Linked DNA regions of Caenorhabditis elegans. The protein of the gene in region 1 purifies or fractionates together with the protein of each later gene. This does not show direct contact. Each region holds a gene or a part of one and is shown on either strand. Other genes may lie near its edges.

Region 1 (4,941 bases):
GAAAATATAAAAATTTTAGTTTTTTTTTTTTGGAAAAAAGTCACTTTTCCATTCAAAATGGTAGTTTTAAACAAAAAAATTTGAATTCACCGCCTATAAAAACCTATATACCCTTCTCGGGGTCGAGCCCTGACCTTTTGCGCCAAAAGCAAGCCTCTTATCCACTGCGCCATGCAGCAGGCGCGCGCGGTACACTTATGGCGCAGTGGGTAAGAGGCTTGCTTTTGGCGCAGAAGGCCGCGGGTTCGAGTCCCAGAGAGTGGCTACAGGTTTTTCTAGGCGAAAAATTTGAATTTTTGGGTTTTAAATTGCCTAAAACTTAATGGAACAGTGAAATTCATAAAATCCACGAAATTATTTTGCAAGTTATTTTTGGAATTTATGTGTTTTTCTCAAAACACTCAGGCTTCTACAAATAATTTCAAATAAAAACCATAAAAATTAGGCCAAACCCTGGTAAACTCGAGAATTTCGATCTTCAAGTAGATTTTTTTCAATTTTAAAGTTGAAAATTCAATTTTCACGCCTAGAAAAACCTATATACCCTTCCGGGGGTTCGAACCTGTCCCCTATTGCTCTATAGCCAAACCGTTTACCCACTGCGCCATGCAGCTTGCGCGCGCGGTGCTCTTACAGCGCAGTGGGTAAGAGGCTTGTTTTTGGCGCAGATGGTCGGGGGTTCGGATCCACGAGAGTGACAATAGGTTTTTCTAGGCGAGAAATCTGAATTTTTAGATCTCAAAGTTTTTAAAGCTTATTTTTGAACTGAATTTTGACAAAAGGTGTTTAATTTTTCGGTTTTTTGGATGGAAAAATGTTAAGGTAATATGTTGTTGTTGCTTTTCATTAACTTCTCCGAATTCTCACGGAAGCAATTTTCATTTACATTTCATTTCCAAGTATCAAAGTTTGAGAATTTTTATTTATTCCAGTAACTTTAGGTATCTAAAACTTTGAAAACTCAATGATAAGTCTTTCAAATTTCAAAAACTGTTGAAAAAATGTAGTTCCGCGATTTTTAAAAATTATGCTCAAATGGCTCAGTGGGATTTTCGACGACTACCAATCTGAAGGCCGGGGTTCGAGTCCGCACTGTGGCACAATTTTTTTCTGTGTTTTTTTTTAAATTTGTCTTTGGTATATCTACTCTCCTAAACTCGAATTTCATAGTCGCAAGCTCTGAAAATGTTCGGTTTTTGTTGAAACTGAAAAAATTGAAATATGCAAAATAAATATTTATAGTCAAAAAAAAAGTAAATTTTCAATCTTTTCTCTGGAAAATCGTTCTAATATTGTGTGTCTTCCTTTTCTTATTGTCCGCTCTCAAATCGTCCAGCAGTTTTTTGATAGTCTCTTTCTGTTTTGAGAGCTCATTGAGCACATGTGTGAATTCTGACTCCATTTCATCGTTGGGTGGTGCTGGAATTTTTTTTGATTCAAATGTTCTGATGAAGAATAGGAAAAAAAATAAAAATTGTAAATTTTTCAAACATTTTTTTTTTCGAAATTTCAAAAAAAAATTTTTTTTTTGATCAAAATTTTCAAAATTTTAATTTTTAGAAAAAAGTTTAAAATCATCCATTTTCAGTCTATTTTAACCCATTTCTTTTCAAAAATTGCTCAAAAACTCACATTTCAGGCTGCCAGCTTCTTCCTTTTTCATGCTCTTCACTTTTTCAGCTTTCTCCACAATTTCAGGCTTCTCCTGCTCCTCTGTGACGTCATCAGATTTAATTTTTTTAGTTGCTGGCTCCATATCTTCCTCTGCATCTTTTTCGTTTTCATGTGCACGTTTTATGGAGATTTCAGACATTTTTGGGCTGAAAATACAGGAAGTTTTGTGAAAATCCAGCAAAATTCTGGCGAAAACTCGTCAAATTTTCAGTAAATCAATACAAAAGTGAGGAATGAGCACTCTGCGGACAGCAGATGGCTTGGGATTCAGCCTCCGAGGGAGAGAGTTAGAGAGCATGCGGAGACGCAGACGGTGCGAGACGGGGAGAAGTGCAACACAGCCGTTGGTGTCAGCTGGTGGCTTGGTTCGGAAGGAGAACTAATTTATTTACGGGAAATTAAATTTATGGTTGTGAAGACCCAAAGATTGGTGGAATTTAAATGAAAAGTTCGAAAAAAAAATCAGCAAACCCGATTTCGTGTCGATTTTCAGAGTTTTAAACTAAAAAATTCAAAAATCTCGTCTAGAAAAACCTGTAAACCAGTTCGGGGCTCGAACCTGTGACCTATTTCACCGAAGTCAAGCCACCTACCCACTGCGCCACATGGGAACCGCGTGGCAAAAGTGGCGCACCGCGCGCCTGCCAGCATGGCTCAGTGGGTAAGCGGCTCGTCTCTGGAAAAATAGGTCGCAGGTTCGAACCCCGGTTGGGGTATACAGGTTTTTCTAGGTGAGAAATTCGAATTTTTGAATTTGAAATTGCCAAACTCAACGCAAAACCTCGTTTTTTGGAAAATTAAAAGTTAAAAAAAAACCAAATTTTCCGCATTTTTTGCTGCACATCACTTTTCTCAAAAAAAAATTTGTTTTTTGCTTTCTTTTAGTTAAAAATTTGTCATTTTCCCATGTAACTCGAAAATATAGCCAGAGAAAAGAAAATAATGTGTGAAACCCCCCGGAAGCTGAAATTGTCACGTTTTTCTGGAAACTTCTTGTCAGGCTTCCGATATTTTTCTAGGATTATTATGCAGCATAGGCTAAAAGAGCGAAAATCTCAGAATTTTTTTTTTTTTCCAAAAAAAAAATTGGATTTCTTTGTGTTCTTTGTGTGGTTTTTAAGTGGAAAATTAGATTTTCAGGAAGGGAAATTGCATAAAAATTGGAGTTAGCATATTTTTGTGGGTTTTTAAGCAAAAATCCTGAAATTAAAAAAAAATTGAATTTTCAAATTTTCCAAAAAAAATTTTTTTCGAAATTTTCAAAATTTCCAGAATTTTTTTTTTTCGCAATCTTTAGAAAAAATGTATTTTTTTTGTTTGAATAAAAGCTATATTTACGTCATTTTTAAGCCACCAAAGCAGCAAAAAATGTGTATAATTGCGTGTTAGCTTATTATTTGTTACTTTTTAGGAATAATTCATGTTTCCTAATTTTTCCCACCGAGCACATTCAATTTCCTGCATTTTCCAGATTTTTAGCACAGCTGTTTATGAAAATTGAGAAAAATTTTGCGAAAAAATTAAAAATTCCCACTAATCCCTTTGTTTTTCACTTTCAAGCACTCTTCCGGATATTTTTCAGTTTTTTCCTAGTTTTCAAGCATTGGTGTACATTTGACTATTTTTCTAAAATATGAAAACTAAAATTGACTTCAAAAATTCTTTTTTTTAGAAAAAAAGAAGAAATAATGGCTAAAAACTCCAATTTTCAGCTCACAAGCCATGAAAATTCCAAATTCTTACCTAGAAAAAACTAAACAGCCTACCTGAGAATCGAACCAGTGACCTATTTTTCCATAGCCAAGCCTCTTACTCACTTAGCCATGCGTGCGCGCGCGCAATTCCGGAGAAGTAGCCAGGAAGGAAGGGGTTGACGCAGTGGATAACAGGCTTGCCTTTGGGGAAATAGGTCACAGGTTCAAACCCCTGCTAGGGTATATATTTTTTTCTAAGTGAGAAAGTAAAAAACGCTGAGTAAAAAAATTCATTGAAAAAAATTATTTGCAAATATGAAGGTTTTGCAGAGATCATAACATTTAGTTCGATTTGCATATTGTAAAAAAATTGTTGAAACTGTCAAAAGTATACAGTTTTAACTCAAAATTCCACCTTCCACGTGGATTTTCTAAGTTTAAAAGTAAACAATTCGATTTCTCCGCCTAAAAAAATATATGTACCCCCGATGGGATTCGAACCTGTGGCCTATTTTACCAAAGGTAAGCCTCTTAGCCACTGCGCCATGCTGCTAGGCGCGCGCTGCGCCTTTTTTGCCACGCGATTCCCATATGGCGCAGTAGGTAAGTGGCTTGGCTTTGGTGAAATAGGGCACAGGTTCGACCCCCTGATAGGGTATATAGGTTTTTCTAGGCAAGGAATTCGAATTTTCTAATCACAAATCTTGATTTACAGCCACAAATTCAGTTTTTTGAATAGTTTTTTCTCAAATTTCTCAAATTTTTAGTCTAAACATTAAAATTTCAGCATGTCGATCTCAGTCCCACTGATCTCCTTCATTGACCAATCAATGCTCACCGATGAGCAAACCTATCTCGACGAATGGCAAAACTCGTCGCAAATCCTCTTCTACTCGGTACTTTTCGTTGGTTTTTTCACGCTACTTATCATATTTCTAAGCTTTTTGTATATTCACGGCAAAACTGGCAAAAATGTGCATTTTCTGCCATTTTTCAGTGCGATTTTAGCTGGGAACTTTGTACTTTTGGGTACTTTGGTGGCAAGTGTAATTGTGGAGAATAGCGATGTGATTTATGGTGAGTTTTGCGATTCTTTGAGTGAAAAACTAAGAAAATAAGGTAAAAACGGTGTCTAGTTAAACAAAAATTAGGAAAAAACCAGAAAATTTGGTTAAATTTGGTGGAAAATTAATTTTCCACCAAGCGGAATTTCGGAGCGACGTAGTTTTTTACAGACACAATTCCTGGCGTCTGGGTATGCAAAATGACCGCGTTTTCTGTGAATTCATCGTCATGCTTTATTCACTGGACTTGGGTGGCAATGTATGCAGATGTGAGTTTTTAAAAAAATTGGGAAAAAAAATTTTGAATAAAAAATTCCAAAAAAGACATTTTTTTTCTAAAATTTCTTTTTCAGAACTTTATTGTAAAACTAATTTTCAGCGTTTTTGCTACATTTTCTTTCCGTTCCGCTTCCGTCGACACTCGAAATTCCGCACCAAATGCATTTTGTGCACGATTTTGCTGATTTCCATGTGCTTCCAGTTATGGACCCCAATTCTTATCACCGGGA
Region 2 (4,531 bases), on another chromosome or scaffold:
TTCCTCTTTTGTAACGTCCGATGACGTGGCATTTATGAAAAACAAAATTCTACAGTAATCCTACAGTAACCTTACATTTATGATATTACGGTAGGCCAATGGTACTACAGGGCCACGATCCTATATGGTTACGGTAGGCAACGGCTACTCTAGGTACCTATTTATACAGTTTCAGGTCGTGGCTCTACAGTATCATTAGCCTACAGTAGCCCTACCGTATACCTACAGTACCCCTACAGTACCACTACAGAACCTTGACATGATCCCCCACCAACTTCCAACCCAACACCTCTTCTATAGACAAAAGCTAAAATTTCCCAAGCTACAGTAACCCTACGGTATACCTACAGTACTACTAAACCATCACACACATCACAGAACTGGCAGAATATATGAACCTTAAACTACAGTAATCCTACAGTAGCCAGAATCGTAACCCTAAGCCTACTACAGTACCCCCGCAATGTTACAGTACTCCACAGTAACCCTAGCCTACTAAAAAAAATATAAAAAAAAGTACTAGTCCACATCTGTATAGTAATATTTTATTTCCAAAATTAAAAAAATCAATTTTTACCAACAAACTCACCCATAATCATAAAAATCGCAGAGCCCTGAAAATCTAGGTGTCAGATAGAAATTGATAATCGACGTGGCAAACAGTAAAGTGAACAGCGTCAGAAAAAACACGCAGATTTTCAAAATTTCCCAGGATTTTTTGACTTTCGGGTGCATTTTTCCTGGAAAAGTAGGGAAAGTGAAAGCTTGAGCAAAATTGAAACTTTTTGCGGGGTGAATTCTTGACAAAAGGAGGAGGAGTACGGGGTAAACGGATTGTTTTGTGGATTGTGTGAACCCGCCGGCAAATTCGATTTTAGGTTGGGATTTCTTGGGAAACCTTTTTTTTCAGGAAAAAGGAGAAGGCTAATGCTTTTCAATATCTAAAATATCCATTTCACGTTTGAAAGATGATCTGCAGATACTGTAGATAGATTTTAGAAACTGTAGAATAACTGTAGTTTGACATAAACGGTATGCTGCAGGAAGGTACAGTTGCTAGAAGTACGATGTGGGAACTGTATGGGTACGTTACGGGTACTGTAGGGGTACTGTAGTCATGCTGTGGGAGCAATGTAGGGGTATCATAGGTGTACTGTATGATTACTGTACTGCAGGGTACTGTAGGGGTACTGTAGTCATACTGTAAGGGTAATATAGGGGTACTGTTGGCTTACTGTACTGCAGGGTACCGTAGGGGTACTGTAGGTGTATTATATGGGTACTGTAGGGGTGATTTTAATGCAAAAAACATTTAAAACCTCTGAAGTTGGGAAAAAATCTACAAAGAGACTACAATTTCACATGAAAAATTAACAAAACTCGAAACTTTCTGTAATTTCCACTGATTGAGCTCTACGTGGCCGTGAGATGTAAAGAACTCGGCCACCAATTTTGTATTGTTTTTTTATTAAAAAAAAAACTTCACAATTGAATATTGGAACAAAAACGGTCAGAATTATCAACAATATAATTATTATCCAGAAGGCCTTCAACACGAAAAACCTCGTAGTGGTGGTTGATGGAGGGCTCCAGGTGCAGTTGCCAGCCGTCTAAAAATTAATTTTAATTTTGACACGAAAATCGAGAAATTTAAATGAAAAAAGTTTTTTAAAAATTGAATTTTGTTGATTTTCACCCAAAAATTTCTAAATTTTCATATGCAATCAGTGGGAAAAATGAATTTTTCTGGTTTTTTCTCAATATTTCTCCATTTCAAACCTTCTTTCAACACGCCATTCCGGGAATTCCGCGCGTAAAAAACCCGCTTCACACGAAAATGCACCAAAGCCATTGAGCACATTGCACAGGGCTCCGTGATGAGGAAAACGTCGGATCCGGTGCCAAGATAGTCATCGCCGTGTCTTTTCGGCAGATTTCCAACCATTTCCATTACCGGGTGGCCGAGTGGATGGGAAGACGGGCGGCCCGTGGAGAGGAGCTCGTCGTTCTGGAATTTTTTGGATTTTTTGGATTTTTCAGGCGGTGCAAATTACCTGCACAGCTATACAACCATCCCCCAGCCGAGCAGCTTCGCCGAGCCATCGATCCACGTATTTTTTCAGCGATTCTGTGAGAAAAGAGCCGTCTAGAAGTTGCTCGAGCTCATGATTCGGGTGAAATCCTGTTGGCCAGAGCTCCTTAGCCACTTGGAATTGCCGTCGGGTCTGTGGCTTGGTTCTCGCGACTTTTACTGGCTGAAAATTGAAAAATTAGGAATTTTCAGATTTTTTTTGATTTTCTACCACTAAATCTTCCACCCGAGCTTCTGCGTCCTCCAACTTTCCCACGATAAGCTTTGCGACTTCCTCCGACTCTGCTATCAGCACACTTCCGTCTTTTCCGACTCTTTTCAAGTGTGAAAGCTCTTCTGGAAGTTCTGGAAGTCGCCTGATAATCTGAAAATATAGAATTTCGACTAATTTTGGGGAAAGGGTAAGTTTCCCTACTGTCCCAATAATTTTCTTGTTTTCAAGTCGTAAAGCTTGGAAGGAAGTCGATGGGATTGTGTCGCAAGTGAGAGTTGAATCCAGAATTGGGTAGACTTTAATTCTGGAATTTTGTTGTTGTTTTTGAGGATTTTTGAGGATTTTTATTTCAAAAATGGTTTTTACGGCTTACCTCATCGTATCGATTTTTCTAATTTTTTCCGGAGGCTCTTCCAGTGACATTTTCCTTGCAAATCTGAAAAAAAACTGTTTAAAAATAGATAAAACGGCAAAAATTAAATAAATAAATCCAAAAAATAAATATGGAAAAAAGTGTGCGGCGGCATTGCCTGCCTCCGCCCCGCCCACATTTCCGCGCCGCACCCGAATCATGTGCATTTTGCAGCTGTTTATTTATTTTTAATCCCGTCACTTTTATCAATTTTCGTCGGTTTTTCCGAGATTTCTCACATTTTTTCAATTCTCAATCTTCTTTCCACCTTATTTCATCGATTTATTGCGAAAATTCCAGAAGAAAATGGGCAACAATCAGTCTGGAGGGCCCGACGCCCGCTATGGAGGCCCAAACGACAAGGCGGGCCTCCGAAGGCATCGGATGATGAGCGAAACGGCAAAAATCGCCGGACAAGTACTCCCGAACCCGGATGGAGGACCGCCGATGATTTTTGATGTGAGATTTTCACAAAAAATCCCAAAAATTCCTTTTTTAAATTATTTTTCAATATTTTCAGGACGGAAATGAGGACAAATCCGGCGAATGCCCAGTGGTATTCCGCTGGAGTTTCACACAAAACGCACAGCCACGTGTCGTCCATATCGTTGGATCATGGGATAACTGGCAGACGCGGATCCCGATGGTAAAGTCGACAAACGACTTTTCGACAATCATCGACCTGCAACCCGGACAATACGAGTACAAATTCCAAGTGGACGGCTCGTGGGTCGTCGACGATAATCAGGGAAAGGCACAGGACGTTCATGGAAATGAGAACAATATGATCAATATTCAAGACTCGGATTTTGCAGTTTTCGAAGCGCTGGATGAAGACTTCCAGTCATCTACAGCCGGGGAGGTGCTCCGTGGCGAGTCGGAGAGCACCAAGAATCATGATACTCCGAATGACAGGTGAGAAAACTTCAGAAATGTTCACTAAAAAACTAAAAAAAACTTTTTCAGAGAGCTCGAAAAACTGCGCTCCTTCACCCAAGAGATCCCATCAATGGATATGCTTCGGAAGGCAGCCGGACCACCAGTAATTCCACCACAACTCATGCAGGTGCTTCTCAACAAGGAGACGCCCGAGTCATGCGATCCGAATGTGCTGCCGGAGCCGAATCATGTGATGCTCAACCACATGTACGCGCTCTCCATCAAGGACAGCGTTATGGTGCTCTCATCGACGCAACGCTATCGCAAGAAGTTCGTCACCACTCTTCTCTACAAGCCTGTCTAACTGTTTTTCTTGTTTTGTGGGGTTTTTTGTTGAAAAAAATCGAAAAAAATGCCCTGACTAATCAGCGATTAGCTCCGCCCACTATTGAACCAATCATACTGCGGTACGGTTTTTCCTATTTTTAATTCAAAATTTCTTGATTTCGCTCGATTATATTCTTTTAAAAAAAGTGTTTTTAACTATTTTTAAATAGAAATCTACCATTTTTCCCAAAATATAGCCTTTTTTGTCTCTATTTCTGAAAAAAATTAAGCAAAACGACATAAACTTATCGTTTTGCATCATCTTTTTTCAGGAATAAAGACAAAAATTGTTGTTTTCCGTTGCAAAATTCGGGGAAAAAAACCGAAAAAAAATCGATTAAACACAAAAAGACAGCAAAAACCGCGCCATGGGGTTGTGATTGGTTGAAAAGTGGGCGGAGCTAAGCCCTGATTGGTCGTGCTTCAAAATTGAAAAATCTCGATTTTTTTGGATTTTTTGTAGAAAAATCTTGATTTTTCAAGCTCCCGAGACCAAAGTTCCAAAATTTTCTCCCACTCTTTAGTTTTTGTATTATAGTCGCCTCTT
Region 3 (7,581 bases), on another chromosome or scaffold:
TAAACTAAATCGACTATGAAAACAATGATCTTCAATTCAAAAAGCCTTTTTTTGTTTAAAAAATTTTAATTTATAAAAATTAATGCTTCTAAGCTTTTTGTACTGAATTAACTCACTCAATGAGTCGTTTTCTCTTTCTTTGCAAATGTTCAGATGCAGAATCAAGGAGCATTGCTTTAGAAATTGCATTTCGGATCTCATCATCATTATGTATTAAAACATGCTGAAAAACGTTTCAGTTTTGATAAATGATATTTTTTGATTCCTTACATTTTCCGATCGTATCACAGTTCCAACTTCTCGTTTCCATCTATTTATATCAAAAAACATAGGATCAGAAGATCGAAGGTTTTCCGTGGTAAAAGATGAATGTGGCTGAAAATATTTCAAATTTTAACGTATTTTTTCATTCAAAACCCTACCGAATGAACAAGCCCTTCTTCGTCGTCTTCGTCCAATTGATATTTCATTGGAAATCTGAAATTTTATTATAAAAAATATTCAATGAAAAGTTAACTCTGTATGGTTAATATTTTTGCAGAAAAAAATAACAACGCGCACAATGTTTTAAAGAGAAGACGCAGAGAAAATGAGAGGCATCAGACATTATGGTTTTAGAAGAGTGCAGACATGAAAAGACGAAAGATGGGAGCGCAAAGAGAAAATGAAATAAAAACAAAAAAGGCCACATGGGTTGTTGGTTTTGTAGAATTGATAGAGTAAATCGGCAGTTTACAGAATCTCGCAGTTTAATAACTTTAGGGGGTTTTTGGCCGGAAAAAAGCATTACTGCAGATTCCCAATTATTGCTCAGAAGCGAAATTTCGCGCTAAAATACAGTACCCGGGTTTGAATTTAGTTTTTTTAAACATCTTTTTTAACGAAAAAAATATCAAAAATTGCGCAGGAACGGAAGGTTGAAATTACAGTACACTCTTAAGACGCACACTATTTTTCATTTAACGAGAAATTGTCGTGCCGAGACCGAATACCGTGTTCTTGGCTCAAAAATCGCAAAATTTTGGGTCTACGATTAGAAACAATTGAAGGTCGCGACATGTAAAGCAATAATTTCAAAATTCTTTCGATTTTTGCGTATTTTATCTAAGATTTCTCGAGTTTTTTATGTCTTGAATTTAAACGTTAAGTTCTTAAAACAAAAAATATTTAATCTGATTCACAAAAAATTAGCGAAAGGAGGCTTGAAATATTTGAGATGCTTCAAAATTTCTATAAAACAACTGACAGTAAGATTACAATTCCTTGCGAAAAAAATTATTTTACTGTATTTAGAACTTTTTATAATTTCTTACCCTTCATGTCTCCATGATTCTTCTTTAATTGGTGTTGTTGAAAACATCTGAATATTTTAACTGTATTTAGAACTTTTTTAATTTAAAATAAATTTAGAACCAATGTTAACTCAAAAACAACATGCACAACGAAGAAGAATTGGTTGGTTCCATTATTTATTTCGAAAAATGAGAAAAAACTGAAGTTGAAAAAAGCGAGAGAATAGAGATTGAACTTTGGAAAAACAGGAAAAATCTCGAATCAATCAAGTGGAAAGGCTCATTTAATGAGCTTCACACTTTTGGAGGATGAAAAGCACAAAAAGAGAAAGCTGAGACAATAGTTATCAAAATACAAAAAAAGTTTGATGAATCGAGAGATTGGTGAAAAATAGACTTTTATAGATCAATTATCGATTATTAAAGTCTTATTAGGTGAGAAAATTGGTTGAAATGAAGAATGGTAAAACGATGAACAAAATTAGATTTTCTTTTAGAGAAAAGATTTTTTAAAAATTGATTGCTGCTGCCCGGCCGACATCGAAATGAAGATGATTGCTTTGATTGAAGATAGTGCTGAAATAATTAAATTTATTAGTTTTTTCTTGATATCCTCATTTCACAGATAATTGAATAATTGCATTCAACGGCACATTAAAAATAAGCGCAGAACCCCTTTCCGTTTCTCGTTAAATATCATCATCTGTCAATTGACCATTTTGGACCTTTTTTGTCAGCGAGCAGAAATTGATGACCAATTACTTCAAAAAAGGATATTTTCTGTGGCTGCTCGTGACTTTTTAGTATAAACAATTATATTCTCAAGGTCCTTCTCAGCTGCCCTTTTAGAATATAAACAGTTCAATCTACCACACCAGACACCCTACGAACCCCTCTCAACCACTTCTTCCGACTCAAATTACTTAGGATCGGTTGGTAAGGTTGACCTGTATGATGACGACAGGAAACAAGTCACGATGCAGTACGGACCATAGAAGAGACGGTAGACAATTTGAAAGGGTCACCGAGTCAAGGTCTTCTCGCTTTTTTTGTACAGGACTCGCCTCCGAAAATGTGAATGAGAGGTATAATCTGATCTACAGTCTCCAATTCCACGCCTATTTGGGATCCTCAAGCGAGAAGGAAACGGAAGACGAGAAATTTAAAAAAAAGTTTGGCGGAGGACAAATACATCATTCCAAGGATTCGGTAAAAAAAATCAATGTCCAAACTTTGATCCTATTGTTTTGTCTTCCGAGAGAATCTCAAGAAATTTACGCCTTTCAGTTAGAAATTTTCTAAAGAGTTTCTAGAACTAACTCAAGCGTTATAAAATTAAAATCAAGGTATGTCTACATAGAGAATGTTTGCACCTTTCTAATTATAGAAAGGCGGTCCTTTTGTGGTGCTCAGTGACCCATAATTGTCCATCGCTTCCTAATTATTGCCTCTCTCATTTGTACTATTTTCCCTCAATAGAGAAAATAGAAATGGGAGAGACTTGGCCCAGTTCCAAAAACAAAACCAACACTTGTCTTCTCATTAAGAGCACGCCGACCGATGGAATGTGAGCACACGCTTTGTAGAACGAGAAGTCCAATAGTACACTTTTCCACTTCCGCGCTACACTAAACGGTCCAAAACCGAGACCAAATAAGGACTCTTTATGCATATAAATCCGTTACTCAAACACACATCCCGCCAGACGGTCATCGTTTTTGTACTACACTTACTTTTGAGAGCACATTTCTTCTTTGAGCTATCATCATCGTTTCGAGGAAGAGACATTGAATATTTGGAATGAAGAGGCGGAGGAAACAGTTGAGATACCGGAACACGATAGTGGAAAAGAGAGATGCGGACTAGAAATTACAGAAAGATAAATACTTCTTCCAGATTTCTAATTTGCAGCGACGGCAGCCGGTGCACTAGTCTCTTGTTTCACTGCAACTGGCTCATCAGCGGTATCTGCAACTTCTCCGGTAGCTCCCTCTTCTTTTGCTTCTCCGGCTCCCTCCGCAGCTGCAGTCTCATCCTTTGGCTCTTCTACAGCAGCAGCAGCTTGCCGATTTCTCTGAAACAAGATAAATTAGCTATCAAAAATAAAAACAAAAGTTAATTGAAAATTAATCTAGAATATAACTCACTCTGAAGAATCCTAGGATTGTGGTCAACAATCCGCTCTTGACGACAGAGTTTGCAAGCTGAACAATGGTGTCAACATTGAATCCTTCCTTGTCAAACTTTTCCTTGGCCTGAACTCCGAGTTGCCAGAGAGTTTGGAAAACAGCTGTGTATCCAGCTTTTCCCTTTTCAAGAAGATCTTCGTTGGTTACTGGAGCAGCCTCGGTTCCAAGAGTCTTTTGAGCCCAAGCTCCGAAGGCATCAATGTTCTTCTTCTGAACTTCTTTCTGGGCTGCAGCATCGGCGTTTTCCTCAGCGGCAGCGACTTCAACTGCTCCTGGCTGTAAATTTTAATTTGTTTTCATGATTAAGATCCCTCACTTAATTAACTCATATAATAGATCTCAAAATATTTCCGAATTCCGATCAATGTCGGAACGGAAATACCGCTAATTGATAATGCACCTTCCGACCTATTTGCATATCACTTATCACATTTTATCATCATCATCATTACCCCATATATTCTTATCAGAAAAGTGAAATTAACATACCTCAAGAGCGTTGGCCAGCTTGGCGAGGACATCTCCATCTTTGAAGAATCCAATGAATTGGTTGCGAGTCGTGGCCTGATCTTTTCCCGGAATGGTCTTTCGCTCTCCTTCCTCTGGGATAGCTGTCTTCTGAACCCAGTCGATAACCTGGTAGTTGGCCTGAAAAATAAAACTTTAATGACCAAAATAAGAATCCGAAAAAAGAACGTTCCAATGTAATTTGTTTTCTCAGTGCAAAAAAGACGCAAATATCCAATACCAGTTCTTTCTGCTATAATCCCATGAGAGCACTCTCAATGTTGCAAGCCTCCATATAAGAGATCATTCTCATTCGTGCTGGACAAGAAAGACGGCAACCACTAAAACAGAAGTGCGTTTGCATCAGAATTAAGAAACAAAGAAAGGAGGAGCAGAGCAGCAGCGCGGTTCAACCAATGAGTTCCTTTTTTTTTGGGAAAGAAGATGCAAAAAGGACGAATTCATCTTGTGTACCAACAAAAAATGGCTGTCGAACTGAACCAGCAATTGTTCAGGATTAATGTCTAGGGAAATTGACCCAATTTTTTGTATAGCTTCTAAACTTTCTTCTCTCAAAATTCCTGCGAAATTCAGACTTTAAAAGAGATTTCATACATGCTAATCTTTGTGAATCTCATTGTATAAAACAGATGTTTCGAAATTATGATGAAATATAAATACTTTTCGTCATGTATTTTTGTTTCCGTTTCCATGGGGATTATTTTTGTGAGTATTCAAAATTTAAAGTCGAATCACACATCTTTTTATTTCTAATTCGTGTAAATATCCTGGTCACCAGACAACATCGATTTTATAACTTTTACGAACGTCTGTCAATTTCTAGGATATCTACAATATCTGCCTCTCATTATCCTAAAGAGTTACGCAATAGCGAATCCGGTGCGCGCGCACACACAGTTAGTTACATTACAACACCATTCTACGGGGTCTGCAGCAATACGAGCGTCGGAACGAGGAAAGATTGGCACAGCTGCCCTTTTACAGAGTGCCGACGCACATCGCCAATCTCGCCGGCGCGATCAAACAAAAAACCTTGCAAATACCAATGAGCGATACATTGCAAATGTTGATGAATAGACTTAATGAACTTGTGAAGGAGTAGGGGAAAATGCACTTGTTCCAAACTTTTTTGTGAGCTCAGGATCAAATTTCAGATAGGTTCTTGTTAGTTAAAAGTACTTATGCATCGTTTTGGCCAATTCCTAGAAATTTTTAGGCATTCCAATGAATTCACCTATGATTCTTAAAAAATCGAACTGCGGTAATTTGAATTCAAAGGTAACTGGTGAGAATGGGGGCTAATCGGAAACAGCTGTTATGCTAGGGTGAATACTAAACCTGCGTTTCGGTTGCTCTAGCGAGAATACCATCTGCCCTGAATCGTTTTAGTTATTTTGAAAGTATTCTTACCTTGTGAACAGCCTGTGGAATCTGTTGAGCAATCCATCCGAGAACGTCTTCCTTTGGATCCTTTGGTGCTTCTGGCTCTTTTGGAGTGGATGCTTCCGCATCACGGTGCTTTCCCCATCTCTTGTTGAAAGTGAAACGCCGAGCAACACCTCCAGACTTCTTTTTCTCTTCTGGAGCTGCAGCAGCAGCGGTGGCAGTTTCTCCTTCTGCAGCAGCTGGGGCAGCAATCTCAGCGACAGCTTCTTCTACTTTTGGTGCTTCTTCAGTAACTGGTGCTGGAACATCGACTGGTGGTTCGGTGGTTGGAACCTTTGGAGCCTTGTCTTGCTCGGCGACCTCCTCGATCTTCTTGATTTCCTCAGACATAGTTGATGTGTTGGTTAGTGACGAGAGAACTGAGACTGAAAGAAACTCATTAATTTTCGAGGTATTCGGAGAAACAAAGAGCTAAAAATGGAGAAAAAATACGAGAGAAATAGACGAGTTGGAGAGGAGAATAAGAAAAATGAGAAAATGGAATGGGGAAAAACAGAAGACTACCATGAAAGTCAACTCAATTACGGGGGTAATCGAATAGAGTCTCCAGTAGCGAGCCGCTAGTAAGCCGGGGTAGCACATTTTGGTAGGCAAAAGACAAAACCGGAATGAGCAAAAGCTTCTCTCTCGCTTGGACACTAATTGCACCCGTCTCTGTCGAGGACTCATTTTCTATTCTAGAACCGTCTCCAAGAATGGGGTTTTAGTGGATATAGATGAGAAGAACAAAAAAAGACGAAGAACTCAAGTGAGACAATGTAAAAAGAAAGAGAAGACGATGTTATAGTAGGGACAATAATGTAAGACTGATTGTGTGAAGAGACTAGATGGTACGCGGAACGCTGAACGCTGCGGGGGCTAGAACAGTCAATCGATGCTCAAATTGCGGGAAAAGGTCATGAAGAGAAAATGCGCGTTTAGGTTATGATTTAAAAAGAAGAACTAGTCATATGCGACTTGAATTGAATCGAAGAATAATGCTAACGAGATAAGAAGCGCTCACTTTTCCTGGAAAACATTCGTCTGGACGAAAAAAGGCAATAAATGTAGGAAGGTAGAGTACTAGAAGGCTTAAGAAAAGAAACCAAAAGAGCCTTTCACTATTCTGGAATAACCGGTTCTTACTCAGCAGGTGAGGTGGCGAAAAAGGGTCATTCAATCTCCTTTTTTCCTCTATTCACATTCATTTCATAACGACAATAAGTGTGTCAAAAAGACTATTCAGACGAGAGAAAGAGACGGTATGAGATGAGAGGCGAGGGTCCACTAACACCATTTACCTTTTTGAATGGTCTACCTCCGTGTCATTTGATATATCGAACCGCCGCCCGCCCCCTATTTGCTCTCGATTCTGATTCAGTCGTTGCTGTTCTCACCTACACTAAATTTAAAAATGAAGCAAATAGAAGTGAAATGAACAGAAGTCCGAACTTCAGAGCATGAGTCATTCATGATTTCGAAATGAGAAACATAGGAAACATAGATTACGAAATCGAGAAAAAGGCGGAGTCAAAAAGAGAACAAGAAATGTCCAGAAAAGACGAATGGAATGGATGTGGGCGACGAAATGAATGAATATGAGAGCAGGGGTATTGCACACATTTTGCAGTGAAAAAGAGGACAAGGCCAGTGGTCCAATCGTCAACCATTACCAGCACCATCACCACACCACCCAACCGCAATGATGCACACAGTGGCAGCAGCCACCGAAACGTCCCTTTCCATTGCGGCAGCAGCAGCGGCAAATGTGTCCCTCTCCCGTCTCTCATAGCGGACGGAAAATTTGGGCGGAGTCTACTGACTTGTGGGGCGGGTGTCCGCGCTGGATGGATGTTTGCGTGTGCTGCTTGAGTGATGAAATTGAAAACAGATAATTTTTGAAGGTTCACAATCGAATGTAACCATGACAACCAAAATTACTGGGTATTTGAGAGTTGAAAGCATTGCATCGAGTTCATACCAATAAAAAGGTTGAAGAATTATTTAGCGCTATTTTATCGGATGATAGAACGGAATTATCTAAAGCGGAAACAATTAGTACGGTAATAACTGATAAAAGCGGTGCAATGCTCAATGTTCATGGCGGTTAGGAAAACTGATAATGCTCTGATAATCATTATCATTTT

The links. The genes of interacting proteins can lie anywhere in the genome.
Region 2: the proteins of C54E10.6 (region 1) and Y47D3A.14 fractionate together in Caenorhabditis elegans (co-fractionation; one large-scale study listed by BioGRID). This does not show direct contact.
Region 3: the proteins of C54E10.6 (region 1) and chdp-1 fractionate together in Caenorhabditis elegans (co-fractionation; one large-scale study listed by BioGRID). This does not show direct contact.

What each region holds. Positions count from the first base shown.
Region 1 is NC_003283.11:18,806,849-18,811,789, forward strand, and holds C54E10.6 (Protein MNN4-like), read right to left. Parts: upstream 1,882-4,941; 5' UTR 1,814-1,881; coding exon 1,633-1,813; intron 1,420-1,632; coding exon 1,262-1,419; 3' UTR 1,221-1,261; downstream 1-1,220. Other genes in the region: C54E10.3 (G-protein coupled receptors family 1 profile domain-containing protein), read left to right, coding at 4,157-4,445, 4,604-4,701, 4,812-4,941.
Region 2 is NC_003281.10:11,234,127-11,238,657, forward strand, and holds Y47D3A.14 (CMP/dCMP-type deaminase domain-containing protein), read right to left. Parts: upstream 2,743-4,531; 5' UTR 2,730-2,742; coding exon 2,680-2,729; intron 2,611-2,679; coding exon 2,508-2,610; intron 2,457-2,507; coding exon 2,304-2,456; intron 2,256-2,303; coding exon 2,055-2,255; intron 2,009-2,054; coding exon 1,780-2,008; intron 1,611-1,779; coding exon 1,483-1,610; 3' UTR 1,455-1,482; downstream 1-1,454. Other genes in the region: Y47D3A.34 (AcidPPc domain-containing protein), read right to left, coding at 1-49, 590-735; aakb-2 (Association with the SNF1 complex (ASC) domain-containing protein), read left to right, coding at 3,025-3,177, 3,239-3,633, 3,685-3,961.
Region 3 is NC_003279.8:6,283,212-6,290,792, reverse strand, and holds chdp-1 (Calponin homology domain-containing protein), read right to left. Parts: upstream 5,821-7,581; 5' UTR 5,786-5,820; coding exon 5,420-5,785; intron 5,106-5,419; exon of another isoform or gene 4,894-5,105; intron 4,446-4,893; exon of another isoform or gene 4,221-4,445; intron 4,130-4,220; coding exon 3,971-4,129; intron 3,758-3,970; coding exon 3,440-3,757; intron 3,367-3,439; coding exon 3,193-3,366; 3' UTR 3,026-3,192; intron 1,869-3,025; 3' UTR 1,455-1,868; downstream 1-1,454. Other genes in the region: C10G11.6 (Verprolin-like), read right to left, coding at 117-223, 271-375, 423-477, 1,314-1,360.